4 linked regions of the Elephas maximus indicus genome follow. Each later gene encodes a partner of the first gene's protein in a complex. Links are inferred from orthologs where the notes say so. Each region holds a gene or a part of one and is shown in the gene's direction. Other genes may lie near its edges.

Region 1 (6,999 bases):
CAGCTGGTGGATTCAAACTGCCGACCTTCTGTTTAGCAGCCATAGCTAGTCACCACTGCACCACCAGGGCTCCTCCAATTGATTGCATGTGATTTATGGATAGGCTTCAATTCAGTAGGTTCAAGGTTCAGACTGATGACTCAAAGTGATGGGGATATAATTATCAACTTAATATAAACAAATGCAGTTTCAATTATTTATTTTCCAATTACCGAGGTACTACCAAACTTGACTGATGACTTCTTGACCACGGCTTATATTTTTATTATACAAATATGATCAAAAGTAACATTCTTGGACTACTGAATGAAGAAGAAGGTCGAAATTCACTTCTGGAAAGGCCACGAGACTTGTGTGTTAAGCCAGAACTTTTAAACATAATTTCATCATTTCTGTGTTTTATATATGTATGCATGTTGTTTACATGGATGCACTGTTTAAGAAAAAATATGGTATTCTCTAGAATTTTCTCCAACAAGATTTTTATGCAGCTTCCATATGCTCATATTAGAAACTCACAGAATAAATGCAATGTTAAAAGACAATTGCCATTTTGGGGGGCAATATTATTTATCATGCTCCCTGCTATTTGTTGCTTTCCTTAAATAGTGAGCTGACTTAAGATCCTTCTACTTATATACTTAAGAATAATTTTAGAGATTTTTTTCCTAAGACTGTAGACTGAATAACTATTCTGAATATAAAATAAATATTATTTCTACTAAATACTATTTCTACTTTAGAATGTAAATATTAAATAAGTATTTACTCAATAAATATTTATTAAATGTCTTTATATTAAGTATCACTCTAGACACTACCTCCTTACCTTTTCTCGCCATCTTTTTGGGGAGAAAGAACATTGTTTAAAAGTGAGTTTTCTCAATACAATAATGATGATGTTTATTTTTTAAAAAAACTGGAAAATACTAACGAGCATATATTCTTAGATATTTCTTTATAGACTCAGAAATGGTATTTCTGATGAGTTGGGGACATTTTTCCAGACCTCAATTAAAGTATTATCATTTCATTAGTTCAAAAGTTTGCAGGATACATGTTCAAAGGATATCCCTTCTGTTTGAAATTCAACATAATCAACCATTTGGATCAATCTTAACACTTTTTTAAATTTTATTTATTTATTTTGTTGTTGTTGAGAATACACACAGCAAAACTTACACCAATTCAACAGTTTCTATGTGTACAATTCAGTGACGTTGACTACATTCTTTGGGTTGTGCAACCATTCTTACCTCCTTTTCTGAGTTATTCCTCCCCCATTAACTTAAATGCATTGCCCTTTGATGTTCCTATAGATAGAATCCTTCGAGTTGCTATTGTCAGTTTGGTCCCATATAGATAGCTCTTAAAAGGGCATAATGGTCAATAAGAGATTTTTTTTTTTATCATTTAAGCTAAACTTTTTTTTTTTTTTTTTGGTTTTAAGAAGATTTCAGGGGATATTTTTGGTTTAAGATTTAAAGATTATCTCAAGGCAATAGTTTCAGGAATTCACCCAGCCTCCATGGCTCCAGAGTCTGGAGTCTATGAAAATTTGAAATTCTGTTCTGCATTTCCCCCCTTTTGATCAGGATTCTTCTTTTTGATCTTTGATCATAATGTTCAGTAATGGTAGCTGGGCACCATCCAGTTCTCTTGGTCTCATGGCAAAGGAGGCAGTTTTTCATGAGGCAATTAGCCACACATTCCACTTCTTCCTCCTATGCCTGACTCTCCTTTTTGCTTTGTTGCTCCAGGCAAATAGAACATAAAAACCTGAAACCAAACCCATTGCCATGGAGTGAATTCTGGCTCATAGCGACCCTACAGGACAGAGTAGAACTGCCTCATAGGATTTCCAAGCAGTGGCTAGTGGATTCGAACTGCTGACCTTTTGGTTAGCAATAGTAGCTGTTAACCACTGAGCTCAAAATTGAACACAGATGTAAATCAAAACTACAGTGAGATACCATTTCACTCCAACTAGAATGGCTAAGATAAACAAAACGCAACACAAAATAACAAATGTTGGCCAGGATGTGGGGAAATTGGAACCCTTATACATTACTGAGAGGAATTCAAAATGGAGCAGCTGTTGTGGGAAACAGTGTGGTGTTTTCTTCAAAAAACTAAAAACAGAACTACCATATGACCAGCAATTCCACTCCTAGGTATATATTCAAAAGACTTGTAAGTAGAGACTGAGACTTGTACACCAATGTTCATTGCACCACTAGTCACAATAGCCAAAAGGTGGAAACAACCTAAACGCCCATCAACAAATGAATGGATAACCAACGTGGTACATATATACAATGGAATGGCACTCAACCAGTAGAGGAAACGAAGTCTTGATACTTGCTACTATATGACTGGAGCTTGAAAACATTACACTGAGTGAAATAAGTCAATCACCAAAGAACAAATATTGTATGACCTCACTTAACATAAAAAGGCAAGAAAACGTAAATGTATAGAGATCAAAGTTTACTAGTTGTTACCAGGGACTGGAAGGAAGGAGAAAAGGGGGAGGGCAGTTTACCACGATGAAAAAATGGCGTAGATTAACAGTAGAGTTACACAACGGGTTACTGTAAGTGCTGTCAGTAAGTTGTACATGTGTAAAAAGTTGAAATGGAAAAAGTTGTGCGATAGACATATAAAAATAACACACACACACAAAGAGTACCTGTTAAGGCTGCATAGGTACAACCAAATGCCTCAAGGGTTTTGGTTTGCAAGTTTAGAGTGATGGTATCATGAACATTTCAGTTAACTAGCCTATTAGCATGTTCAGTGCTTCTGCTCTACTTCCTAGTTCTTTGGGCGGTTCCTGGGGTCTTAAAAGCTTGCGAGCAGCCATCAGCCTTAACTCTTGAATAAATGTTTACAGAATAAGGTACATGGGAATACAAAAATGAATAAAACTCTGTGTAGGGAAGATAAGAACTTACTGCAAAATGCAGACTAGTTATCAAATAGTATACAACGTGCTTCAATTCTGTAATAGATGAACGCACAGAGCTTAGGTTGTTGTAGAGAGCCTAAGGCAGTCTACAAAAAAATAAAAAGTTGATTTTTTGTTAACACACATTTTTAAGGAGAAAGCACATTCTAACTTTATGCTTGGTAGTCGAGGGAAAGATTCAACCCGTACCTCTCTTTTCCTGTCTATTGATTAATCATGTTTCACTCACACCGTAGCGTGCGCGCCAATTTGCTTTTAGCATAGAAATTAGTAATAACTCTACATTGAAGGGAAGTAAAACGTATTTTTAAATTATTGATGTACCCACCAAAACCAAAAACCAAACCCAGTGCCGTCGAATAGATTCCGACTCATAGCGACCCTATAGGACAGAGTAGAACTGCCCCATAGAGTTCTCTAGGAGCGCCTGGCGGATTTGAACTGCCGACCTTTAGGTTAGCTGCCGTACCACTTAACCACTACACCACCAGGGTTTCCACTGATGTACCCAGTAAGTGAAAATTAACTATAAAAATCACAGTAAGGGACATTTTGCTGGAGAGAACAAAATAAGGAAGACTTCACTATGGATAACGACGGCGTTACGTCAACGCTGTGGCGTCACGCCTATAGATACAGGCGGCACAAGTATTAAGACCCAGCATAGGCCGCCACGTTTCAGTTCCCCGTGCTAAATCTGAGCAAGTTTTCAGGAAATGCAGCTGACCTCTGCCAGGCCAATAAGATAAGAGAGTCAAGGCCGGGGAGCCGTTATGAACGCGCATAGGGCTGCACTCGCGTCAGGCCAAAGAGCCAAGGGAAGCCTACGTAAGTGTCAGACGTCTCCAGGCAGCGCTCGTCTCCCTCGAGGCCCCACCCACTCCTCTCTCCAGAGCCCCCCACCCACTCGCTCTCCAGAGGCCGCTGGGGGCCCGGGTGATGCGGGAGGCGAGTGAGGGGAGAAGGAAGCGCATGCGCTCTCGGGTTCCAGGCAGCCAACCCGCTATCTCGCGAGAGTTGGAAGTCGGTGGCGTAGGTAGTTGTCCGAGTTGCTGGCGACATAGATGATATCTGACGGTGGAAGAAGAGGAGGAGGCGAAGCTAGGTCCTCACCTCAGTCTCTCTTTCGCTTTCCTTTCCCTCCCCCTAACCCTCCACCCTCCTCTAAATCGGCCTGCTTCCCCTGACCTCGGTGACCCGGCTGGCCCCGCCCACTCTCGTCGACGTGATTCCCGCCGTGAGGTAAGCAGCGGGTCGAACCCGGAGCTGCGCGGAGGAGGAGACCTACGACCAGGAGGAGGAGGCTGCTGGGTCCCGCTCAGGCCGTCACGGAGCCGCGGTGCCGGGGAGAACTCAGGGAGTCCTCTCGCCGGTCCATCAGCTCCTTCCCCAGGTCTAGGCCTCTTCCTCCATCCCTGCGGGACCCAGCCCCTGGCAGCAGCGGCTGACGCAGCCGGAACATCATGTCGTCCGCAGCCGAGCCTCCGCCACCCCCGCCTCCCGAGAGCGCGCCTTCCAAACCCGCAGCCTTTGCTACCAGCGGCGGGAGTAACAGCAGCAACAAAGGCGGACCGGAGGGCGTCGTGTCCCAGGCGGCCTCCTCTGCAGCCTGCGCCGGCCCCGCCAACGCCGAGATGGAGGTGAGGGACCTGAGCGCGGCGTGTGGCGCGGGGAGAGGAGAAGCTGGTTCCCTCCCCCTGACTTGAGGGCTCAGACGCGGAGCCCTGCTTCACCCCTCAGCACCAAACTCGGGCTCGGGCTCGGGCTCGTTGGATCCAAACGATGCTCTCGTCTATGCGCCTTCGTGCTTATCCTGTCTAGACTCAAATGGATTCCGAACAGTTTGCATGTAAATTATCTGCTTCTTTAGCAAATCTTGCCAAATATTCGGTGGCTCTTACTAAACAGATGTTCTTGATTACTGTGGCCGGGTGGGAGCTCCCCGTTTCTTTTCACTGGACTCCCATAATTCCCTCTCCAATTTGTGCGAATCTCGGTTTTAGTTTTCTCTGAGCTTGGGGGAGGGGTGAGGGATGTGCCGTTTGGGAGTGAGGGACAGACTGTCGCGGAGAGGGAGGCCGCGCATCCGAGGACTCGGGCCGCCTTTTCTTCCTCCGGGTCCTTGTGGGGCGGTATCTGTTCTGGGCACAAACAATGGCGAGAGCTGGATGGCCGAATGCGCAGTGGGGATAAGCGGGCGCAGCTGCTCTGGTGAAGGGACGAGAGGCCCCTCCCAGACACTGTTCCACTGGGAGGGTAGCGGCCAAGGCCACGGCAGATGTCCCAGACCCCCATTTAATTTGGGGGGAATGGATGGATGGATGAATGAATTAGTGAATATGGGGTGGTTGGTTGGCCTTCAGTCCAGCCCAACTCGTCTTTTGTGGCCTTGGCCTTTCTTTTCTTGTAATTGATAACCGCTATCTATATTCTAATAGATACTGTCGGCTCTGGTCAGCCAGGGGGATGGCGACTGTACTGCGGGGGTGGAAAGATAAGGAGCTGCCAGGCCCGGTCTCTTGGGTATGCACCAAGGCTTCGCAATGTCTGGGAAGAAAATGATTGCTCCTTCGAATTTCAGTCTTGGTCTCCGACCTGTTTTGAGATATTTTAGTGTCGCAGTACGAGGATTTCAGGATTTTCCCCTCTTTAGATAGACGGGATGAAGGTAATACTGCTCTAGAAAGGTACCCTGATGCAGAATTAATACAATCAGGAAATAGCGCAGTTTACCAGTAAGGCATTTGCCGCAGTAGTTTTATTTGGGCATCAGAGGTCTAATTTAGGGTAAAGAAATTAACTTCATGTTATTAGTCTTTGAAAGAACTTTTAGTGGTGAGGGTAGGTTTAAGTGGAATAGGAAATCTGATATTCTGGCTTTTCCAGTGATTGAAATTTGTTTCAAGCTTAGATGTATCCAGTGTTGCGCCCTTTTTTTATTTTTTTTCCTTAAGGTTTTTTAAATGGTTCTTTTGGATTCCTGCTTAATGGCTTCAGGGGGTGTGAAAACCAGTGAAATTGAAAGCATAAGGTTGTATGTGAATGCACAATTCTGCAAAGAGATGTTTGTAGTTTTGATTAACATCTTAAAAGGGGCTGCCATTCAGCCTTTGGAATAACAACATGTAGATGTCTCCCCAGAGGTCTTATTTAAATACCAAAAAGCAGAGTAAAGCCTGAACTAAATACTTTGGTTTTCAGTTGCTATTTTTGAGTTAAATTTTAAAAATGAATGTCAACGTGATGAAGTCAGTGGTAGTTTTCATTTGCCAGATGAGGAAATCAAGTCTTTCGCTAAGTAGAACCTTTAATAGAACCCGGGTCTGGCTCCCAAACTGACCCCTTTCCCACATAGCTTGCTGTGTCATATTTTTATAAAGAAAGATATTTTGCATTTTCATTTACTGTAGATGACCTAGTGAGTTATTTTACCTTCTCAGTATTGGGATATCAGTGATTTTATCTTTTATCCATCCACCTTTTCACTGACTAGTTTTTATTTTTTTCTTCACATTACAGTGACATATTCTTTTAAAGTAAATGTACCCTTAGTCTTTTTTTTTTTTTTTAAATTTTAAATCCAAATTCAGAAGGCATGGAAGTTCACTGATAAAAACTGAGTTTGAACACACAGGTATTATATATGCGACAATCTTAACCTGTTTCACAGTTGAAAAAAGATATTTTAAAATGCGTTTTTCTTTGAATGTAGGATGTAAGGTAGATTTCTTCCAAAATCAGGACATAATGTTATACCGGTTCCTAAGGGTCTTAGCAATGGAGTTACATTTGAATTTAGGTCATTTGACCTTTTAATCTTGTACTTATAACACCTACACCAGCTTCTCCCACTCACCTTTTTTTTTTTTTTTAACATCTAGCTTCATTATAGCGTGTAGTACCAAGCACAGATTTGTACATCATTAATGAGAATTATGCTTTTACCAACTGTTCCTATGTAATTTTTTTTAATGGATGAATGGAACTTTGCAGTGTAGAAGTTGCTACTGATTTTTGTTGTTTGTGGC
Region 2 (7,553 bases), on another chromosome or scaffold:
TGACCTGGAACGCAGGCACAGTCAGTGGCCCTGACCTCGGGCTGGTTTGTGAGTAGGATCTAGGATTCAGGCAGTGATTTTGACCCCAAATCTGGTCATTGACTCCTGTTTCCAGGACTGATCAGCTGCTCCTGATCCCAGGCTCAGTCAGTAAACTCAACCTCAAACAAGTTAGTGATGCTTCACCTAGGGTTCCTGGGTGACCCTGACTCCAGTCAGTGACTCTGACCCCATCCTGGCCAGTGCCCCTGACCTCTGTGTGACTCCTTTTTCTCCCCTCAGGTGCCATGTTCTGGGGTCTCTTCCACAATAGCTCCTCAGGCAATTCAACTGCCATGACCTCGGGCCCAGCCCAGATGCTGGCCCCTGGGCTGGAGCTGCCTGCGACTCTGCCTGCCCTGCGCTTGCTGCACACGCGCTTCGGCCGACTGCCCTGGCCACGCCTATTGTGGGGCCCCACCCTGCTGGCTCAGGAGGGCTTCCTGGTAGACCCACCTCTGGCAAGGGCGCTGGCAGCCCAGGGCACAAAGGGGCTCTGCCCACTGCTTTGCCATGCTGATGGAACCCCCCTGGGTCCTGGGTCCCGAGCCACCAACCCAAGGCTGGCAGCTGTGCTACACAGGGCAGCACTTGCCCCCACCCCAGACCTCACCGGGGACACCCTCCTGAGTCTGATGGCCAGTGACCTGGGGCTGGAGGCCCCCTCAGCTGAGCCCATGCCCAGCTTGGAGCCAGCCCTGCAACTGTCTGTGCCCCAGGGCATCCTGTTCACCACCCCCAGCCCATCAGCCGGCCCAGAACTGCTGGCCCTGCTGGAGGCAGCTCTTCACTCCGGGGCGCCCAGCACTGACCCCTGCCCACCACTCCTGCAAGCTGCCAAGACCCCCGTAAGCAGCGTCCTGGCCACCATCGACAGCAGTGGCTCTGTGCTCCTTCTCACCTCCTCACTTAACAGCTCCTTTGGCTCTGGATACGTGTCCCCCAGCACGGGGGTTCTACTCAGCAATCTGGTCACCAAGTCTGCAACAAGTGCCTGGGCTTGCCCCCTCATCTTTCTAGGCAGCCCAGATGACACGGAGGCTGATGTGTTGGGGCTGGTGGCTTCAGGGGCCCCCTCAGTGACCAGAGCCATGACTAGCGCCCTGCTCAGACACCTGGCAGTGCCCCAGACCCAGGCTCAGCACCAGCACCAGCAAGAACCAAGAGAGAGCCCCAGCGCTTGTGTTCAGGGGACCCTGCTCCAGGTGACAGCCCACGCAGAGCATGCCCATGTCTCCAGTGTCCCCCACGGCTGCTGCCCCTTTCAGGGCTTCTAACCAGGTAGGGTCTGGCAGGGGTGGGGCTGTCTGGAGCCTGGGGCAGGGCCGGGCAGGCCCAGGGCAATGGAATACACAAGGAACATGCATCTAATACATGCTCACTGCTGGCTCTGGCCCCTAACCTCTGACCTGGTTAGTTACCTGGACTTGAGTCCTGGGTGTCCAGGGCTAGCTCAGTCGATCTTCAAAGCATCCCTGCTGGATGGAGTTTCTGGCTTCTTTTTCAGCAAAGAACTTGAGGTGAATAAGGAGAGAGCAGCTCAGCCTGAGGCCATATGTGCATAGAAAACAGGTTGCCATCTGATTCTGTCTCACGGTGACCCCACATGTGTCAGAATAGAACTGGCCTCCATAGGGTTTTCAATGGCTGATTTTGCAGAAATTGGTCACCAGGCCTTTCTTCCAAGGCACCTCTGGGTACTCAAAACACCAACCTTTCAGTTAGCAGCTGAGTGCATTAGGCCTTTGTACCACCCAGGGACCCCATGTACATGGTAAACCTCTTAATTTGACTTTCACAAACAGGCAGCAGAGCAAAGAAGGTGTTGAGAGGATGAGTGGGGGGATGTCCCAGGGCCCTGGATACAAAAGGGGCTGGAGCTGGGTGTATGCACTTAACTGCAGAAGTTGGCCTTGATCCTCCTACCCCCTGAGGGCTGGAGTCTCTTCGGCCCACAGCCCTCTGGAGCCAGCTTCTCGGGCCCTCTCCCCCAAGAAACAGGGTAGCCCGTTGAACACTCCCCCCACCCCCGCACTTATAAAAGTCAGTTCTGATTTAACTGAACTCTTTATCCCACCCCCACCCACTCACTTCCAAAAAATTCTCCCCCAGCTCAGCAAATTGTGCCACAATCTACCTGGTTATTTTGGCTCCAAGTCTGCAATTCCTCTCCCCACATGCCCAATTCATCACCCACCCCTTAAAAAGAAGAAAAAACAACCCCCCAAGTGTGTCAGGGTAGAACAGTGCTCCTTAGGGTTTTTTTTCCTTCATGTTCTAATAATCGATTTTCTTTGTTGCTGTTGTTGAGAATATACACAGCAGAGCATACACCGATTCAACAGTTTCTACATGTACAATTCAGTGACATTGGTCACGTTCTTCAAGTTGTGCAGACATTCTCACCCTCCTTTTCCTGATTGCTCCTCCACTATTAACATCAACTCACTGCCATTGTCGGTTTGACCCCTTATAGATGGTCTCTAAAAGTCCATAAGGGTTTCGATGGCTGATCTTTGAGAAACAGATCAAAAGGTCTTTCATCCGAGACGTCTCTGGGTGGACTCAAACCAGCAACTTTTTGATTAGTAAACCCATTGCTGTCAGGTCAATTCCGACTCATAGCTACGCTGTAGGACAGAGTAAAACTGCCCCATAGGGTTTCCAAGGCTGTAATCTTTACAGAAGCAGACTGCCACGTCTTTCTCCCACGTAAAGGCTGATGGGTTCTAACTGCCACCTTCTGGTTAGCAGCTGAGCACTTAATCACTGCACCACCAGGGCTTCTCACCTGTGCCTACCGCCTCCCAATTAGCCCAGATCTGACCTGTTCTCATATCACCCTGGCCCAATCTACCATCATTTCTAACTGGTCTTCCTGCTTTTATCTTTGCCCTCCTACAATCCATCCCCAGTACAGCAGCCAGGATAATCTTTTCAAAACGTGGATCTGATTAAGGCTTGCCCCCTCCATAAAACCCTCCAGTGACTTCCCATCACTCTCAGAATAAAAGCCAAACTCGTGATCCCTGCCTAAGGTCCTGGCAGATCTTGCTTCTTCCACCCATCTTGCCAACCTCCCCATCTAGCCTTGGGGTCTTCGTAGCAGTAGTATCCTCTGCCCGAGGGTCTTTTTCCTCCTAGCTCTTCCCACTGGGGGCTCCAAGTGCCATCTCTTCATGGAGGCCTCCCTGGCCACCCTCTCCAATCAGTATCTTGGTACCTATTGAGTTCTATTTTTAACTTAATGTTTTCAATGGGTGACATATTTCTGTTTCAAATTTCGTTTGAATGTATTATTCAGCAATAAAGAGAAATGAGTTATCAGGCTATGAAAAGACATGGGGGAACCTTAGATGCATATGGCTAAGTGAAAGACGCTGGTCTGAAAAAGCTACATACTGTATGACTCCAACTGTATGGCCTTCTGGAAAACTCAAAACTACAGACACAGTGAAAAGATCAGTGGTTGCAAGGGAGAGAAGGGAGGGGGGAGGGATAGATGGAGAACACGCCAATTTTAATGCAGTGAAACTATTCTGTATGACACTGTAACGGTGCACATGCAACATTATGTATTTGTCAAAACCCATCAGACTGTACGATACTGAGTGAACCCTAATACAGACTTTAGCTAGTAACAATGTATCAGTATTGGTTTACCAATTGTAACAAGTGTATCACAGGAGTGAAAAATTGTTAATAGTATGGGAAACAATGTTCAGGGAAGAAAAGAAAACATAAGAAGTCTGTAACCCTGGTGCTGTAATGGGTAAGAACTACAGCTGCTAACCAAAAGTTCGGCACCCTTGGAAACTCTATGGGGCAGTTCTACTCTGTCCTAAAAAATATAGGGTCACTATAAATCGTAATCGACTCGACGGCAATGGTTGGTTTTTATATTTTCTGTTCGAAGCCCTTGTTCTGTAAACCTAATACTGATCTAAAAAAATAAAGTCTAATTAAAAACTGGGGGAAATAATTTCAAGTCTCTCTCTTACCTCTCTCATTGTCTTCATAATAATTATGCTTTTAAATGTCTTTGGTTACTTGCTCGTCAGTTGTCTCCTCCCACTAGAAAGGAAGTCGATGAGAGCAGTGACTTTGTGCCCACGGTTTAGGACTGCGCCCAGCACGCAGTGGGAGCTCAGTGATTGTATGGTGAATGCATTTATGTTCGGGGCGCAGGGGCCACTCTGGGACGAGGTGGATCGATTTGCTTCGCTTGGATTGCTTTTCCGAGATGGGCCCTCAGAAAAGAGCCCGGTGGGGCGCTAGGGGGACAGATGTCTCAGCTGCCCGGGGAGAGGGAGTATGACCGGGAGGTTGGGGAGAAGCTGCACTCACTGCTGTGCTGAGAGAGCGGAGGGGGGTCGGGCCTCCCCCGGCCCTGCTACGGCCCCGCCCCTGGCCCCGGCCCCGCCCCGGCCCCGGCCCCGCCCAGGTCCTCGCCTGGCTCCTCCCCCGCCGACCCAGTCCAGTGCGCATGCCCGGCGCCCTGACCTGGAAGAGGCAGTCTTCAGAGCCCACGTGTTCGTGGAGCATGGCGGAGATGGAGAGTCAGGACGTCGCTGAGCCCGTGTCTCCCGGAGAGGCGACCAAGAGCGGTGCCCCGCCTGCCGACCGCCATGGCTTGTTGCAGCACAGCCGCGAGTTCTTGGACTTCTTCTGGGACATTGCGAAGCCGGAGCAGGAGACGCGGCTTGAGGCCACAGAGAAGCTGCTGGAGTATCTGCGCACACGGCCGAAGGTACGCTGGCGGGGCCTGGAGCAGGCGGCCATGCAGATGCAGCCAGATGTGGCGGCGGATCCGGGCCTTGGGGCTGCAGGCACTTGGTCCCGAGCGGGGATGCCCAGGCGGGCGCCGGCCGAGGTGCGGGAGTCCGCGAGGGCTAGCTGACTCGTGCCACTGGCCCACGAGGCTTGCACTTGGTTCCCTAGGGGTCCGAGATGAAATACGCTCTGATGCGCCTGATCACTGGGCTCGGGGTCGGGCGAGAGACCGCCCGGCCCTGCTACAGTCTGGCCCTGGCACAGGTGAGTTGGTGGTCCCTGTGGACGGTGGGTGTGAGGGAGGCAGGTGCTCAATTGGCAGGAGAGGGGTGTCTGAGGGAGAGGTTGGGAGAGTGACATCTGAAGCCCAGTCCCAGGGAAGATTCACCACGTGGAGGAAGAGAAGGCGCCTCAGCAAAGACTGACTGCAAAGAAGCCCAGGCCCAGGGAAGTGGAGGGGGAGGCTCAGCATGTTTTCTTTTTTGGTGCACGGGTGGAGTGAGGCCCCTTAGGTATATTTGGTGGGAGGAATGAGCTTTGCAGTGCCCCCCCCCCCTTCTGCAGGGTCACAGCCCTGTGTCTCCAAGGGGCACCCAGCCGACTCTAAGCTACCCTCCGAGGAGCTTGGACAACGGGAAGGGCAGTGAAAACCCAGACCTCTGGGATCAGCCTGGGAAGACTCAGCAGGCTCTGGGGATAGGGTATCTTGGCATCTCAGTTAAGCAGTCTAGGGGCCAAGGGAGGTAAGGTTCAGCTCCTTTTCACCAGCAGTGTTCTATCAGAGCAACATGAGCAGCTTCAGAGGCATCCTTGGGGTGGGATCAGGGACCCCGGGCCTCTCAGCTGAAGTCTCAAGGAGAAGGGGAAACAGGTTGACGTCTGCTGGGATGTGGGGATGTGGTGGGGCCACCCCCTGAATCCTCTCCCTTCTATCACACCTCTTGGCAGCTGCTACAGTCTTTCGAGGACATTCCCTTATGCAGCATCCTGGAGCAGATACAAGAAAAATATAACCTACAGAAAGTGAAGAAGGTGAGAGCGGGTGACCCCAGGATGGACAGCAGCGGGGGGCGGGGGGGGAGGTGGAGGATAGTGAAAGGGGCGGGGTGCTGTAGTACCTGAGCTCTTCTTATCTGAGCCTGGAATCTTTTTCTAGGCAATGGTGAGACCTGCTCTCTTCGCACACCTGTTTGGGGTGCTAGCCCTCTTTCAGTCCGGCCGGCTAGTGAAGGTAAGAGCTTTGGGGTCCCAGGGGGTTCTCTCACCCGGGGCATGTGGCCTGGCTTGGGAGTGGTGGGGAACAGCAGCATGCCCTCCTCATACCCTCTGCCTGTCTGTGTGGATGCCAGGACCAGGAGGCACTGATGAAGTCCGTGAAGCTGCTGCAGGTCCTGACCCAGCACCACAACCACTTACAGGAGCAGCCCCAGAAGGCCCTGGTGGACATCCTTTCTGAGGTATGACCTTGGGTGGCACTCCCTGCTATAGAAACATCGAGAAGGCTCAAGTTAGCGGATGAGAACATGCCAAGCAGCACCGTCTGATAGGAATATGAAGGCAAGCTGCAGGTGTCATTTTAAATTTTGTAATAACTGCATTAAAAGGCAAAAAGAAACAAGTGGAATTAATTTTAGGGGTGTATTTTATTTAACCTAACGCATTTTAAAGTATTATCATTCCAATGTGCAATCAGTGTGGAGAGAAAAAAAAGGGATTTTGCACTCCTTTTGTCATAAACCCACTGTGTTTTACACTTACAGTGTATCTCTGTTCTGGGTAGCTGCACTTCAAGTGCTCAGCCACCTGTGGCTAGCAGCCACTGTACTGGATGGTGCCCATTCTTTTGGGCAGGGCTGGCCCCTCAGGGACCTACACTGCCCTGACTTGGGAAAGTGAGGTAGGCTAGCACAGAGAACCCCTTGCCACCTCTCTGGACTGAGTAAAGAGGCAAGAGGCCATCGTGGTTTCTGCACAGCCTAGCCTCAGAGATAGAAAAATCTGGATTCTAATCCCTGCTCTCCCATTGGCCCTCAGTTTAGGGAATTTTGTATAAGAAGCAGGCTGATCCTCTGAAGGATGTCCTAGGTGGCACAAAGAATTAAGTGCTCAGTTATAACCGAAAGGTTGACAGTTCAAATGCACATTCACCCAGAGGCACCTTGGAAGAAAGGCCTGGCAATCTCCTGAAAGATTGCAGCCATTAAGAACTCCACGGGGCACAGATCCACTCTGACGCACATGAGTCAGAATTGACTTAATGGCAACTGGCTTGATTTTTTTGTTTTTTGGTCCTCTGAAAACCAAAGAGGAATTACTGAAAGGGTTAGCCCCAGGTCAGTTAGCATCTAGGGATGCTTGTTAAAACCCGAGCTTCCTGGGATTTGGGAATTTGAATTTCTTATCAAATACCAAGCAAGGTGGATTGTGGCTGTCCCACTTCAGGCTGGCACTCTGCTGGGGACCTTCATGGGAGCCTGGCAGGTAGAACGGGATCTGTAGGGCTTACCCCATGGAAGAAGAGATGAAGGAAGCTATGAGTGAGCCACCCTCATAGAACTTGTCTCTCTGCCCCCAGGTCCCAGAGGCCACGTTAAAGGACATCCTGCCGAAGGTGCTCAAGTCTGACTTGGGTGTGGTGCTCAGCTCCCCTGAGTACCTGGAACTCTTCCTCTTAGCCCAACAGAAGGTGCCTGCAAAGCTCGAGAAGCTGCTGGGATCAGTAGATCTATTCTCAGATGAGA
Region 3 (7,733 bases), on another chromosome or scaffold:
TTGGCTAACTCTTTCTACCAAAATAGAGTATGATATCTTGTTTTTAGAAGAACCAAATGTGGTGCTATATTTATATTTATGATCAGGTTTAAAAAAGAATCTGGTCATCAGCTCGAAACCATGTTAATTTACTGAGCTGGTTTTGCTGGAAGCTCTTTAAATAGCATCCAGACAACAGACTCATGCCACTGTCTAAGAACCAAAAGGAAGTACATTTCAACTAAACAAATATTTTTCAAGTATTTATCATATGTCAGGCACCATGCCAAGACCTGGGAGAGAGTAATAAATAATATGGACACGGTCTCTGCCCATGAAGCTTACAATCTGGGAAAGATATGTATGTAAGAGCTAGATATGTGGGTAAAAAAGATGTGTGTACAGTGTATGTAAAAATTCTCAAAGGCAAAACAGGTTTGGTTTTTTGGTTCTGTGGCAGAGACAGCAATGTTTACCAATAATCTATAACCCCTTACCCCCTTATATTCTCATCTTTGTTTTAAAGTTATTGTTGACTGTTTGGTCTCATATAAAGTGATCACCAATTTTTTGGTTAGTAGTTGAGTGCAAACCATTTGCACCACTTAAGGACCTTTCCAGTATTCTATACGTGCCCCCATACTGCCTAGAGTCTCCAGTTAGGTGTGGCCATATGACTGATCTGGCCACAGCCCAGTGAGCAGAATCATAGAAGACAAGACTTCTCTGCTCTGGTCCTCTATGAAAGATTTGTGTTGAGATAATGGATCTGAAGTCACCTAGAGCAGTAAGTAAACCACATGCCCTGGAGAGCTGACTAAACCACTAGAGGGCACTGTAGCTAGGGAAACAAATTTTTGCTGAATTAAGCCACTGAAATAGCCTATAGGCTCTGGACAAACACACCTTCTCATCACTTTAACCAAAAAATGTCCTGGATCTTTATAGTAAGTGTTAATTTAAGCTTGCACTTATTCATGTAGCACTAATTGACCCAGTGATGTGGTAGCATTGCTTTTGGTGCTGAGGATACCATGAGGAACATACAGCCTTATGGAGCTTACATTGTAGTAGGGAAGAAAGATGATTAAAAAAAAATTTTTTTTCAGGTAGTGATAAATGTAACAAAGAGAAAGGTCTTAGTTAGTGATCCTCCCTCCTTCACTAAGTCTCACCTCTCTCATGTCCTTACTGAGCTCAGCTCCTATAGTCCTTTTTTATATTAATCGTCCTCAACTCATCCTTCTCTTCTTTCTTCAAACTTGCCTGGCAAAATCTCAGCCTGGTTAAATCCAATTCTCTGCCTTCTCTCACCTACTCCCAGGTAGCTAAGCATGGCTGGAGAAGAATAATGGTGACTGGTCTCATTTTGACTTCATGGCCACTAATCCCAATGTGTCCTTGTAGCTGCCTGGCCATCCTACTACATTTCCTAATCCATTCATCTCCCATTCTCCTTCATGACTAGTTCACACTTCCTCTGTCCTGAAGCCTCCAACAGTCCTCTCCAACACACTCACTGCCAGTGATCTTGCTCATGATTTCACTGAGAAACCGAAAGGAATCAGAACTTGTAAAACTCCCACGACATCTACCAACCCCCCTCCCCTGCGTCTGTCCCCATATCCTGTCTTCCTTCCTGTTTCTGTATAGAAGCTTGTGCATGGTCCTATCTAAAGGCAACTCCCCTGCCTGTGCACTAGATTGTCTCCTCTCATCTACTGTGGTGACATGAAAATGTGCCACCCAGATCTCCCTTCAAGGTAGGACCTGTGGCCCAGCTGCAGTAGACAGCCTCCAGCTGTCAGCTCCTTCAGGGTCTGCCAGAGCTATAGAGTCACTTTCACCAGAAGGCATGCCCTTCCTGGGGCAGGCTGCATTTAGTGACTGAGCAAGGTGGGAACAGTAAAACTTGGCCAGGCAGGTCCAATTCATGACCTTCTGAAGGGCAGTACTCACTCCAGAGCTCCCAGCAGGGTTGGCTCAGGTTTTGTCAGACCTGCTTTGCAATTTGACCCCTTTCTTTGCCCAATCATACTTCCTCCTGCTTCCTTTCACTCATATCGATACCTAAAAAATCTGGTTCCTCAAATTCTGCTTCAGCATCTACTTAGAGAACCTAGCCTGCAACACCAGCATAAGGTTGGCTCCAGTTATTATCCCCTTCCTCCCTTGCATCAGAAACCCTGGTTGCATAGTGGTTAAATGCTAACCAAAAGGTTGGCAGTTTGAATGCACAAGGTGCTGCTTGGAAGCCCTATGGGACAGTTCTACTCTGTCCTATAGGGTCGCTATGAGTTGGAATCAACTTGACAGCAATGGGTTTTGGTTTGGTGCCTTGCGTCATCACTTTTCCCTTCTTTCCCATCAACCTATAAATACACAGTAACATCTCCCATCTCGAAAACCAAACTACCTTTGAGCCACTGCTCCATTTCCCTACTCCCCTGAACAGCAAAATTCCTGGAAAGTGCATCTGCTTACACTCGTTGCCTACCTGTCTCTCTGTATCCCCACTCTAGGCACTTTCTACTCATTATTACACAGAAACACTTCCTGTCAATGTCACCAATAACTCAACATTGCTATATCCAATGGTCACTTCTCAGTTCTCACCTCACCTGATCTTTTCAAAAGCAGCATCTGATCAACTGATCACTCCCTCCTTAGGCACTATCCTCACCTGTCTTCAGGGATACAACATTTGCTTGATTGGCCTCCCACTTTGACTGGCTACACCTGCTCCTTCTCATTTCTTGTGCTCATTCCTCTTCCTCTCCTGAACATCTTAACACTGGAGAGCTCCAGGGTGCAATCTTGACCCTCTCCTCATCTCTACCTATATCCCCTTTGTTAGCGATCTCATCTGGTCTCAGGGCTTTAAATACCATCTACATGTTGACGACTACTAAATTTATATCTTGAGCTAGAAATGTCTTCCCCTAAATGCCAGACTCTCATAACGAACTGCCTTCTCTATACCTTCATTTAGATACTAACAGAAATCTCATACTTAACATGTCTAAAACAAAATAACTGATCCCCCCAAAAGAAAAGTCCTGCTTCCTCCACCTGAAATCTTCCTTATCTTAGTAAATAGCTACTCTTCCTTCCAGCTGTTGAAGCCAAAAATCCAATATTATCATTGACTCCTGTCTCTTATATCCACACCCAGTACTTTAAAGAATTTTTCCGAATATATCCAGTCTATCTCCCCTGCTCTCAATTTCTTCAGATCTATTTTCGAATGTCATCTTATCAGCAAGACCTTCCTTAATCATCAAATGTATAAAACCCTGTCCACTGTACTGGCAGAGTCCCAGTGTGGTGCAAACAGTTAAACACTGACTATACCCAAAATGCCGGTGGTTCTAATCCACCCAAAGGCACCTTGGAAGAAAGGTCGGACAATTTGATCTACTTCCCAAAGATTACAGCCACTGAAAACGCCATGAAGCAGTTCTATTCTGACACACATGGGCTGCTATGAGTCCGAGTTGATTTAATGGCAAATGCTTTTATTTATTTATTTTTTTTGCTTTACTCTCCTGGTATTTCTTATTCCCCCTAACCTGCTTTATTTTTATCACTATTTGATATAGGGTATATTCACTTGTTTATTTGTTCATTGTCTTCCCAACTAGAAAGTAAGCTTCAACACTTGGTCTTGCTCTGGTTCCTAGTGACTGACACAGACCAGGTATTCAATAAATTTTTTGAATAAATGAAAGAAAAAGAAGGGTAAAGAAATAAAGTGACAGTATGAGGAGACGAGAAGCACTTCAGCAGAGAGACTTCAATGATGTGAAGATGCAAGTCATTTGAAGGTGTGGCGGGAAGAGCATTCCAGACAAAAAAAAGTTAAGTAGAAAGCCCAAAGGTGGGAATGAGCGTGTCCTCATGAAGGAACATCAAAGGCCTGTGTGGCTGAAAATGAGGCAACTATGTCTGCGAGATGAGAGCAAAGAGATTGCAAGAAGCTGCATTATGTAGGTTTTTGCCGAGCTGGCCCGGACCGGACAAATTCCGTTATTTTCTCCATTTTAACACACACACACATTCACAGTAACGCTCTCGGGCGCATCTCCTACATTTACAGCTCTGAAATCCACTTACGCCTCTAGTGATGTGAACATTCAATGTGACAGGGTTTTTCGTTACAACTATGGGGTCCTAAGAAACACAAAGATTGGGAGTCATCACCCAGCACAATCTCTGGGACATAAATGAGATCCCTCATTCACGAATTCCCATCCACCTCTGTGAAATTCTGCAAATACCAGCTTCACCGGATTTCTGACCTTCTTTGCCACCCCCCTGCCCCCCACCTGGACCCCAGCCCGTTACTGTTCCCGGAAAGACTAGTAGACACAATAAGCACGAAGGCCCCCTAGCGTTCTTCCGTGAGGCGCCGCCGGCTCTCTGCCCGTCACGCTCTTCCCGCATTCCTGTCCCGAGCGCCGCCGACCGACCGCCACACGCAGCCGGGGGTACCCGGAGCGTCGGCCCCGGAGCGCGCAGCCCCTCCACCCGCGCCCGGGGAACCCCGACGCAGCCCCGCCCCGGGCTTCCCGCGGAGGCGCCGGCCCGCCCCGCCTCCCGGCCCGCGCCCGCCAACTCCCATCTCGCGCCGCTGATTGGCCGCCGCATTCCCGCTTTCCTTCCCGAACCGCCATTTTGAAAATCTTGTTGATTCTGGGGAGCCGAGAGCGCGGCGCGAGCGTCACGCGCGAGAGCGTCCCGCGCGCCTTCTCTTCTGCGTCCACCGTCGCCACCGCTTCCCGGAGCCTCCTCGTGGCCTCGCGCGCCAGGCCTGCGGCGTCCGGGCCCTGCGGTGAGAGCTTCGTCGGGGGCAGTGGAGGCCGAGAGGCAGCCGCGGCGCCCGCCTGCGCCCGCCGAGGGCGACGGGGACGAACGCGGCCTTTTGGAAGGCGGCCGGGCGGGGGAGGGGATTGGAGCCGCCCGCAGGCGCGGGCCGGGCGCGCGGGGCGGCGGGAGAGGGCGGGCTCGGCCCCGTGGGTTCCCACCTCAGGAATCCCTGACAGCGGGCGGAGCAGGAGGGAACCCGCCCCAGGGGAGCGAGCGCAGCTGTCCCAGCTGCAGGAGAAGGCAACTTTGAGGATCGGTGTGCCGCCGCCCCCTGGTCGCAGTCCTTCACACCTGGCGCCGTCGTGGGCTGGCGAGGGTGTGACCCTAGGGCGCCTCCGGGGCCGGGACCTCAAGCTTCCACCCCGCCCGCAGGTCAACAACAGCATGTCCTCCTCGGCCCCCGCTGCAGAGGGAGAAGGAACCCCCGCCCAGCCCGCGTCCGAGAAGGACCCCGAGATGCCCGGCACGAGAGAGGAAAGTGAAGAGGAGGATGAGGACGAGGAGGAAGAGGAAGAAGAAGAGGAAGAAAAAGGTGGGCGGAAGTCTTGTCTGTTTCGATGGATATTTTAGTTGCAAGTTTTTCTTGTAGAAAACAGCTTTTTTGCTCTTTTTGCGCTTAAAGGCATTGAAGTAATGATTTGCAGCAGGAATGTGTGCGAAATGTACAGTTAGCTTTGTGAATTCCAGTGTTCCGTTTACACTCGTTAGCATTGCTGTAGTGACTCTGGGAGTGTAGTTGACTTCTTGCCAGCTAGCTACGTTCATAACATTTCATCTTTTGACAGGAAGTTTGTAAGGTCTTTCTTTCTTTTTTTTTTTTTTTTAAATCGGTGTGTACGTTAGCCTTTAAAGTTACTGAGTTAATTTTTTTTTTACTTTTTAGTAATTATGCATTTATTTTGCCTTATGAAGTTATTGCAGGTTCTTTAAAGAGAATCTTCATCTTAAAACTAAGAGAAGTCATTTGTACTAGTCTTGTAAATATTTTCATATATTTAAAATATTTTTATTTTTGCTAAACTTCGGGAGGTTTCTTTTCACGGGGAAACACTGCTGAGAGCTGTTGCTACTTGTACCTTAAAAGGAAGTATGGACTCAGAGCTATCATTTTTTGGACCTGAATGTGACTTAAAATCAAAACTGAGTGAAGTCAAGTTGAATCTGACTCCTATCAACCCCATGGGCCAGAGTAGAACTGCCCCGCAGCGTTTCCAAGGAGCAGCTGGTGGATTCGAACTGCAACCTTCTGATTAGCAGCTGAGCCTTAACAACTGGGCAGCCAGGTCTAAGGGAGGACGATATTAAAGATTATTTGACTGAAGGCATGAAGCAGAAGAACACGACAGAGTCGAGTGCTGTGCCTGTTTATCCAAGATGCATGGCGTGAGGCATCTTTGAGGTGTTTAAACTTCCTAAGATGTTTTTAACTATTTAAAAATTCAACTCACATATTCTGGCATTTTTCTGTATTAGCCCAGTCTAGGCTTACTTAGTATATGCCTACACCTCAGCCAAACTTGGGAAGAGTTTGGAAGTTTTCTTCCCAAATCCAAGTTTAACTGTCAGTTTCTTTTAAGTCTAAATATAAAGTGTAAAGCTGTCTACGATCAGCATCTTATAAATGCAGTCTAGGTTGAGATTACAAGGTACGTCTTTTGTTTGTTTAAAGTGGTATGTGCTTTAAGAAGGGAGTGCGTCCATAATTGGGTACAAAAACGCTTAGAAAAAAAAATAGAAATTATTTTTAAATTCATAATACAGTGACTGGAAATTAACTGCAATATCACTTCTGGTCAAAGACTTTCTCAGCACTTTCCTCCAATTTTTTGTTGATATTTTAGTCATTTTTTAGGGCATGGTTGGGACACCACAGTAGATGATGAATATTTTCTTTATGTCAGAAAGAAAGAAAGATGTCATGTAAAAATACTATTAATGGCTGATGTGGCTGACACAGTAATGCTTGGGGGGACTGGCAGTAGTTCAAAGAAGCCCTCATTTTGTTCTGGATGAATAAATTGTAATTTTTTTTTGAATGGTAATTTTATTTTAAAAATGATATAGTTCTAGTTATTATTCTGTTTCACTCCTTTGAGGTATTTGTGGAAAAACCAAAATTTTGAATGTTTTTATTCACCTAGCCCTGAAATTTTTTTTTAGCCCTGAAAGTTTACCTCTACTACTTAGTTTTCATGGAAGCAAAGCAGTAAAATTAATGACATCTTTGCCAAGCAAGAGGTCAGAGTGACCAAATTAGGCAGTGGTTTTGTGGTTGGGGTTTGTGGTAAAAGAGAGAGTGACAGTTTCAAAGATGATGCCTCGGTTTCTGTCTCAGGCAGCTGTGTGTATGGTATTACCATTTGCTGAAGAAAATAATTGACGGAGGTGAGCAAGTTTGAAGATGATTATGACTCCTGTTTTGAATTTAGGCACCTGTAGTTCATGAAGTAGAGCTGTCCCGTTGGCATACATAGTAGTTGATCTGGGAAGTCATTAGCTTATAGCTTGTTAAAAAACCACTGCCGTCAAGTCGATTCCAACTCATAGTAACCCTATAGGACAGAGTAGAACTGCCCCATAGAGTTTCCAAGGAGCGCCTGGTGGATTCGAACTGCCGACCTCTTGGTTAGCAGCCGTAGCACTTAACCACTACGCCACCAGGGTATAGCTTAGATGATAGTAAAAGGCAAGGAATGGTTCAGATTACGCAGGGAAAGGAAGAGGAGTGATAATAGTGTCTGCCTTAGAGTGCTTTCTCTTCATTCTTTGGAATATACCAGAATATATCTGCTGAAATCCATGTCTTGTCTGTGCAAATACATCTTCAAGCTTTACATGTCCTTCAAAGCCAGCTTCAGTGTCCTTTTTTTTTGTTGTTTTAGGAA
Region 4 (7,332 bases), on another chromosome or scaffold:
TGATTTTAAAACCCACTAACCTAACCAGTTGCCACTGAGTTGATTCCTAATTATGATGACCCCACGTACTCCATGGAAACCCTGGTGGGATAGTGGTTAAGTGCAGCAGCTGCTAACCAAAGGGTCGGCAGTTCGAATCCGCCAGGCGCTCCTTGGAAACTCTATGGGGCAGTTCTTCTCTGTCCTATAGGGTCGCTATGAGTCGGAATTGGTCCGACGGCACTGGGTTTGGTTGTTGGTTTTATGTGCTCCACGGAGTTTTCCATGGCTGATTTTTCAGAAGTAGATCACCAGGCCTTTCTTCTGAGACACCTCTGGATGGACACGAACTGCCAACCTTCTGGTCAGCAGCTGAGCACGTTAACTGTTTGCAACACCCAGGAACTCCATAAAACCCACTAACGGGTCAGTTTAAAAAATATTGCTTTAGGCTACGGTGATATTTAAAACATTTAAAATTTTAAAAATATTTAACAACGATGGAACCATAGAGTACCTATTCAATTGTGTCTGCCTTCTTTCACTCATGGTTTTGCAGCTCACCAGCGTGGCTGTGTGCATCAGTATGAGCAATAACCTATTGATGGAATAGATCACTGTCCATTTTTCTGTTGAACATTTGGGTTGTTTTCCATTTTTTGAAAATTTGAATAAACTAGTCATTGATTCTGACTAAACAGATTGTCTTTTTTTTTTTCTAAAAGGATGTGAAATTTGATCTTAAGAAATTTCTTATTAATAAACAAAGTGAGACTGAGTATAGATAATGTAACACTTGTTTGAAGGCCTCTTCACTGCAGTGGCAATAGATTAATTACAGGTTTTAGAAAAAGCTTCTCTTTTCTTGCATTTACATTCCAGTTGGATGTACGAAATTCAGTTTACTACATAAACTGGGACTAGACTCTTGTAGCCTATAACCTCTTATCCCAGAAAGGCGAATAGACAAGGTGGTACCAATCATGAGTGTGTGTCCAAGAAGAGACTTAGTGAAGGCACGACTTAGTGAAAGCGAGTGTAGTAAAGCACCTCTTATCTTCTGGATGGATATAAATTTCTGAGGCTTAAGGACTTTGTCCCCATGCTAATCTGGATCAGCAAAGGCAGAAACTCTAACCTTATTTATCAGTCCCCTTTTGAATAACAGCGTGAACATTGGGAAAACAATATAGTGTAAAAGCTTTTTTTTCTTCTTTAGAACGTTATTTTACAACCTTATGAGAGTGAGAGCTGTGGTACTAGAAAGCCTGAAAGCAAAGAGATAGAAAGGAAGGGGTGGGTAAGGTTTCATAAAAAAAAAAAATAATAAAATAATGACATAATTAAATCTTTTTGGTTTCAAGGTTCTCTCCATAGAAATTACTTCACAAAGATATTATTTTCTTTACTACTGGGCATCTGGCTTTTATTTAAGGGCAGTTAAGTAATGACGACTTGATGGCAACTGGTTTTTGGTCTGATCTGCAACTGATCGTGGGGATGACGTGGTGTTTAGTTCCATTGTCCATGGGGTTGCCATGAGTTGGTAGCTGACTTGCCGGTAGCTAACAAGAACAAGTAACGACCATGTGAAAGTTTTTTTCTGCTTTTTTATTTTGGGTATCTTTCTGCAAAACTGTTATAGATGTGCTCTGGGTCAGATTTTTCTTAAACCAGGGTCCTCAGATCCCCAGGGTCTAGTGACACACACTAGGCAGTCTGAGAGTTCTACCAAAATGGTTTAATTTAGTTTTGCATTTCATTTCAAAGATAGCTTATAAAATTTCACCACTCATTAAACTTAAAACTTCTCTTTTGCAATAATAATTCATAACCATCAGACATCTTCCTAAAGTAAGACTTTAATTTCTTACATCGGTATTTCTTAAACTGGAATTTTCAAAAGTATTTGCCAAGTTTCAGATGAACTGTTTGTGTGTCTTCCTCTTTAAAAGTGATTCAGGAATATTACTCAGCCTTAAAGAGAAATGAAGTCCTGATACATGCTATAACATAGATGAACCTTGAAAACATTATGCTGATTGAAATCAATAACAAAAGAACAAATATTGTATGATCTCGCTCATATGAAATATCTAGAATAGGCAAATGTATAGAGGTCAAAGTTTATTAGTGGTTACCAGGGCTGGGAGGAAAGGAAAGAGGGGGTGTCAACGCTTAGGAAGCATTGTGTTTCTGTTCAAGGTGATGGAAAATTTGGGAACAGATACTAGTGATGGTTGCATAATATGATTAACACAATCGATGTCACTAAATTCTACACATGAAAAATGTTAAATTGGCACATGTATTTTATATATATTTAAAAAGATTTGACAACAAATCTTTAAAGGAAATTTTAGGTAATGCAAACAGAATGATAGCTGTTGCTTACTATATTTTTAAAACAATAAAAAAAGTCATTCGTATATTATTCGAAAATCACTATTCTAGGCAATAAATTCCTCCAGGAACACCTCTTTTTCTCATGATAAATGAGTATTCTTTATATAATGAGGACAATATAGACCACTGGGGTGGTGCAGTGGTAGAATTCTCTCCTTCCATGTAGGAAACCCAGGTTTGAGTCCTGGCTAATGCACTTCATGCACAGCTACCACCTGTCTGTCTTTGGAGGCTTATGTGTGTTGCTATGATGCTGAACAGGTTTCAGGGGAGCTTCCAGACTAAGACAGACTAGGAAGAAAGGCCTGGTGATCTACTTCCAAAGCTCAGCCAATGAAAATCCTACAGATCACGATAATCTGGCCTGCAATCAATCATGGAGATGGTGCAGTGTTTTATTCCGCTGTGCATGGGGACACCAGGATTCAGGGGCCAACTCCATGGCAACTAACAACAATGTATAGTTCTTTATCTTCCTTTAATCATAAATTGTCCTAAACCATTGCTGTTGAGTCGATTCTGACTCACAGTGATCCTGTAGGACGGAGTAGAACTGCCTCATGGGTTTCCAAGGCTGTAAATCTTTACGGAAGCAGGCTTCCACCTCTTTCTTCTGCCCCATGGCTGGTGGGTTTCAACTGCAATCTTTCAGTTAGCAGCTGAGCACTTAATCACTGTGCTATCAGAGCTCCTGGCCTAAACATAGTTTGTATTGCACTTTGCTTCAAAATCTTTTTAGGAGGTAGGTACTATATAGGTTTTAAATGTACTCTGAAGATTTTGCCTCAAAGAAGTAAACCATAGGCTAAATAAATATAGCTGAATTAAGTCAAAATTCTATTAACTTCTTCCTTCAGTACTAGCAAACATTTTTAAGTATTTAAAATACACCAAGGCATTACACTAATCATTTAGTATGAATTATCTAGTAAAATTCTGTGATGTAGATATGATCATCATCTCCACTTCACAGAAATTTTAAGAAATGAAGAATCTTGCACAATGTCATGAAGGGGTCCTGTCAACTCTCAGTTCTGGCTGAATTCAAATCTTAGGTTTCTAATTATTATGCATGTTGCTTCCCAAGTTGTACATTCTATTTTGCATTATTGTTGATTGGTGGTTTTCCTCTGGGATTCTTTGTGGGAGAATGTTCCTCTCTGTCCCCCAACAAAGTGGAACCCTGTCCTCTAACAAACTTTTGCTTTTCCACTAAGTTATCTATCATATTTGACTCGTCAGTGGAAGCTTACACACCTTCAGACGCTGGTCTCTCAACAAAGCCCCTTCCCCTAACACCCTGGTCGCCTAGCAGAGCCCAGACACCTGAGACCCTGATCTCTCAGCAAGGCACCAACGCTTCAGATCCTGGTAACCCAGGCAGAGCTCCTTACCCTCAAATCCTGGTTCCCCATAAAAACCCCGCCCCTCAGACCCTGGTGACACCGACGGGGTCCCGGTACAAACCCGTTCTCCTCAGACCCTGGTCCCCCGTCAGAGACCCTACCTTCCCCCTTCCGAACCTTCTCCCAAAGTCATGTCTTTTTTCCTACTCTCCTTTTTCTAATTCACTCGCCTCAATTTCCCCCACCATCTTGTGGCCTAGTTTCAGTTCCCGGGATCCCCTCAAAACTCACCGAACTCTCCTCGGAGTAGCTTGCCCAAACGGTTCCGTACTTTACCTCTCACCTTCGTGCGTTTTGCTCTCTAAGCAAGGCGCTCCCCGCCCCTCGCACACGCCCCGCCCCCCAAAAGTCTTTCGGCCAGTCAGTGCCAGAAGCCCCGCCCCCCTCAAGCCTATTGGCCATCGCTCCGGAAAAGTCCCGCCTCGTAAGCTTTCAGCCAGCCTCCCCGCCCGGCTTCCCTTGTTTTCATTCCCCCTGTCACACGAGGCAGTGGCGAAACCGGTGGGAGGGGTGAAGTAGAGGGAGGGAAGGGGGCGGAAAGTGAAAGGCACAAGAGTGCCTCTCTTTCCCCTGTCTGGCTCGGTTCTCGACTGCTCCGGGACGCCGTTGTATTCTGGGATCGCGGCGCCGTCCCTGAGACGCTCGAATCCGCAGGGGAGCCCACTCGATAGCGCCTCCTGTCGTCTGTAAGGCTACCCTGCCATTCCCTGACACCCCAACTCTCCCCCATCACCCCCCCATCGCCTCCTCCTCCATCCTCCAGTTCAAAATGGCGGCGGCGGCGGCAGCGGCGGCGGCGATGGCTTCTCCGGGCTGCCCAGGTTCGTGCCCCAACTTCGCCGTAGTCTGCTCCTTCTTGGAGCGGTATGGGCCGCTGCTCGACCTGCCTGAATTGCCGTTCCCGGAGCTGGAGCGGGTTCTGCAGGCGCCGCCGCCGGACATCGGCAACGGAGAAGGTAAGCGAGGGGCCCGAACGCCCGGCGGGAAGCGGCCCTGGCGCGCTCCTTCTCTTGGCTCTTTAGGGACGCCCTGGGCCTTCGCAGCCCGGTTCTGGGGGAAGCTCCCCGCTCGACCCTTCTTTTCCGCCCTGCCCCCGGGGTCCTGGGCTGAGGGGAGGCGGGGCGGGGGACCCCTAGGGTCACCCGGTTGAGCGGGGAGCGGAGGTGGGGGTGTCGCGGCTAGGTGTGGGCTGGGGGTGTGCAGGGGTCATTGTGCTCGTCGGTCGCCCGTGGGGCCGCTCTACCGCGTCGGGGCTGGTCCCCCACCTCCTCTCCGTCTCGGTGGCGGGGGAAGGGGAGCGCAGGTTCCGGCCAGCTTTGCGCTTTTCTCCTCCCTCCCTTGCTCTCTCCCCTCCTCCCACTATCCTCACCACCATCTCGGGGGAGGCTGGGCCCATCTTCTTGGGGCGTCCCCTTCTTTCCTCCACCTGGGTGGGCGGGGGTAGTGGGCACAGCAACTCTCCCTGCCACTGGTGGGAGCTCCCACGAGAGAGTCAGCTCTCTACCTTCTTCCCTTCCCCTTGAGGGCTGGTTTAACCCCCAAAACTCCTTCTCCGAGTTGTGAGGTCGGCCCCTCCCTTATGGGATGGGGTCCTCGTCCATTCTCGCGTTGGGGGGTGAAGTCAGTTCGGCTTCTCCACCTAGGAGGATAAAGGGTTAATTCCTCCTCCCGCATAGCTTTCTAGCTTTCCTTCTCTCCCTCCCCACCTCCCCCCAAATAATGGAAAAGCATCTCTTCACTTTCCCCACTCACTCCCTTCCCCCGTCATCTTGGCAGCAGGGCTTCGGGAAGAAGAAGTCGCCCTCCCTTTTGCAGGGTGGGGTGGGGTGGTTTGTATGTAGGCTGGAGGAGGGGCTTAGACGTAGGGGGAAACTGTTGAAGAAGGTGCTTGTTGCTCATGTTTCTCTCTCTGGTGCTGCTGGTCTATTATTGGTGTTCGCAAGTGGTGCTCATTCCACATAAGGCCACCGCGCGGGTGCAGGGCGCATGCTCTGCCCGGCCCCATTGAAACTTCCTGCTGCTGCTGCTGCTGCTGCTGGTTCTTTTGCTGGAGCATCTCAGCGCTGTGCCTGCTGCCTCCAGCCTTCACACTGAGCACAGACACCATCTACTTATTCCCGATCCATGCCTCTCCTTTTCTGGCATATTTCTTCTCGCAAAGGAGGGATTTTTTTGTTGTTGTTGTACTCTGAGTATTGCCTTTATCTGGGAAGGGCCTCTTTGGCTGGGGAAGAAACGTTTTCCATATAGGTCTTTTTTTTTTTTCTGTTTGTTGGTATTAGGTGGCCAAAGTGGACTGCATGTCGTTCGAGACAGCTGTTTACTTTCCAGTAAAACATGGTTGCTCTTCTCTTTTCCATGGAAATGGAGACGTTTCCATTAACAGAATATATTTACATTGCTAGGAAGGGCCCAAGTGTGAAATTTTTCAAACTGTTACCTATAGAGAATATGAAGTTAGGACTACCAGAGTCTCAATACGTTAAAAGACAGGCCCATATCTCTTACCTTCCTAAATCCCCTGCACCTTTAACAAATCCTGGAATATGAAAGGCTTGTTTTTAAAACAGTATCAAATAAGACGGTGGTTAATTACATTTTATAAAGACCTCCTGCAGAATTTTTTTAAAAAGCTTTCTAGTGTAGTCATTTCATTAATGACCTGTAGTCACCATTTATTTTTAAGGAAGTATTCATTGTGAAGTGGAACGCCTTAGTAAGTTGCTTTTAGGATACCTTGGAGAATGATAGTAATGTATACCAGAGAGAGAAATGTGGGAATTTGGAGAAAAGGATTGCTGGTAAATTGTTTTTGGAATTTATTTGAACCAAGTTCAAAGTCAGGCATAGGCTTTCTGAATGTCATTGTCTTTTGGGTGATATTCAATATTGCTTGCCACTGCGTTCCTTTCAGTATTTTGGTCACTGTTTGATACTACCAGAAAAAAAAAAAGAATTACGGTCAGTTTAATAGTTCGTGTTATCTTTCTATTTAGAGTTGAATGGTGGATCACCAGTTAAGTAAGAAACGGAAATTACCCTGGGCTTAGATGAATCACGTAGCTCAGCTACTCCATTACTGTTCATATATTTGCAAAGGGGACTGATGATGTTCCTGTCATAAGGTGAGAAGCCCTGCTGGCGCAGTGGTTAAAGCAGTCACCTGCTAACCAACAGGTTCATGGTTCGAAACCACCAGTGGCTCTGGGGGAGAAAGGTGTGCGGCATTCTGCTTCTGTAGAGATTTACAGCCCTGGAAACCCCGTGGGGTCGCTACGAGCTGAAATGGACTCTATGGGCAGTGGGTTTGGTTTTGGGGCAGTGGGTTTGGTTTTGGGATTTGGTCATAAGGTGATCTACGAATAATTATTAATGTTACATGTTTAAGATGCTTGGCAAATGAAAATTCTCTGCGGATGAAATACTGTGCGGGAAAAAAATTTTAATGATGGTCAGCCTACTTGTAATTGATGAAATAACTCTGGTCCAGCTAACAAGTCCAGCACTGAGTCATCTTGGGATGGAGTTGTGGTATACTAGA

Evidence for each region. Proteins that work in one complex are often made in the same cells at the same time.
Region 2: SMARCA5 (region 1) and MYBBP1A share a complex: the UniProt entries of both Homo sapiens proteins name them as parts of the B-WICH complex. The link is inferred for Elephas maximus indicus from reciprocal best matches to the Homo sapiens genes SMARCA5 and MYBBP1A.
Region 3: SMARCA5 (region 1) and DEK share a complex: the UniProt entries of both Homo sapiens proteins name them as parts of the B-WICH complex. The link is inferred for Elephas maximus indicus from reciprocal best matches to the Homo sapiens genes SMARCA5 and DEK.
Region 4: SMARCA5 (region 1) and RSF1 share a complex: the UniProt entries of both Homo sapiens proteins name them as parts of the RSF-5 ISWI chromatin-remodeling complex. The link is inferred for Elephas maximus indicus from reciprocal best matches to the Homo sapiens genes SMARCA5 and RSF1.

The regions. Positions count from the first base shown.
Region 1 is NC_064831.1:41,246,764-41,253,762, reverse strand, and holds the start of SMARCA5 (SWI/SNF-related matrix-associated actin-dependent regulator of chromatin subfamily A member 5), read left to right. Parts: upstream 1-3,987; 5' UTR 3,988-4,434; coding exon 4,435-4,611; intron 4,612-6,999. UniProt on the Homo sapiens protein: ATPase that possesses intrinsic ATP-dependent nucleosome-remodeling activity.
Region 2 is NC_064837.1:16,665,992-16,673,544, forward strand, and holds the start of MYBBP1A (myb-binding protein 1A), read left to right. Parts: upstream 1-4,551; 5' UTR 4,552-4,582; coding exon 4,583-4,789; intron 4,790-4,980; coding exon 4,981-5,076; intron 5,077-5,760; coding exon 5,761-5,844; intron 5,845-5,968; coding exon 5,969-6,043; intron 6,044-6,161; coding exon 6,162-6,269; intron 6,270-7,387; coding exon 7,388-7,553. Other genes in the region: GGT6 (glutathione hydrolase 6), read left to right, coding at 283-1,316. UniProt on the Homo sapiens protein: May activate or repress transcription via interactions with sequence specific DNA-binding proteins. Repression may be mediated at least in part by histone deacetylase activity (HDAC activity).
Region 3 is NC_064819.1:63,692,710-63,700,442, reverse strand, and holds the start of DEK (protein DEK), read left to right. Parts: upstream 1-4,731; 5' UTR 4,732-4,813; intron 4,814-5,220; 5' UTR 5,221-5,232; coding exon 5,233-5,380; intron 5,381-7,733. UniProt on the Homo sapiens protein: Involved in chromatin organization.
Region 4 is NC_064825.1:44,265,698-44,273,029, forward strand, and holds the start of RSF1 (remodeling and spacing factor 1), read left to right. Parts: upstream 1-4,330; 5' UTR 4,331-4,560; coding exon 4,561-4,747; intron 4,748-7,332. UniProt on the Homo sapiens protein: Regulatory subunit of the ATP-dependent RSF-1 and RSF-5 ISWI chromatin-remodeling complexes, which form ordered nucleosome arrays on chromatin and facilitate access to DNA during DNA-templated processes such as DNA replication, transcription, and repair.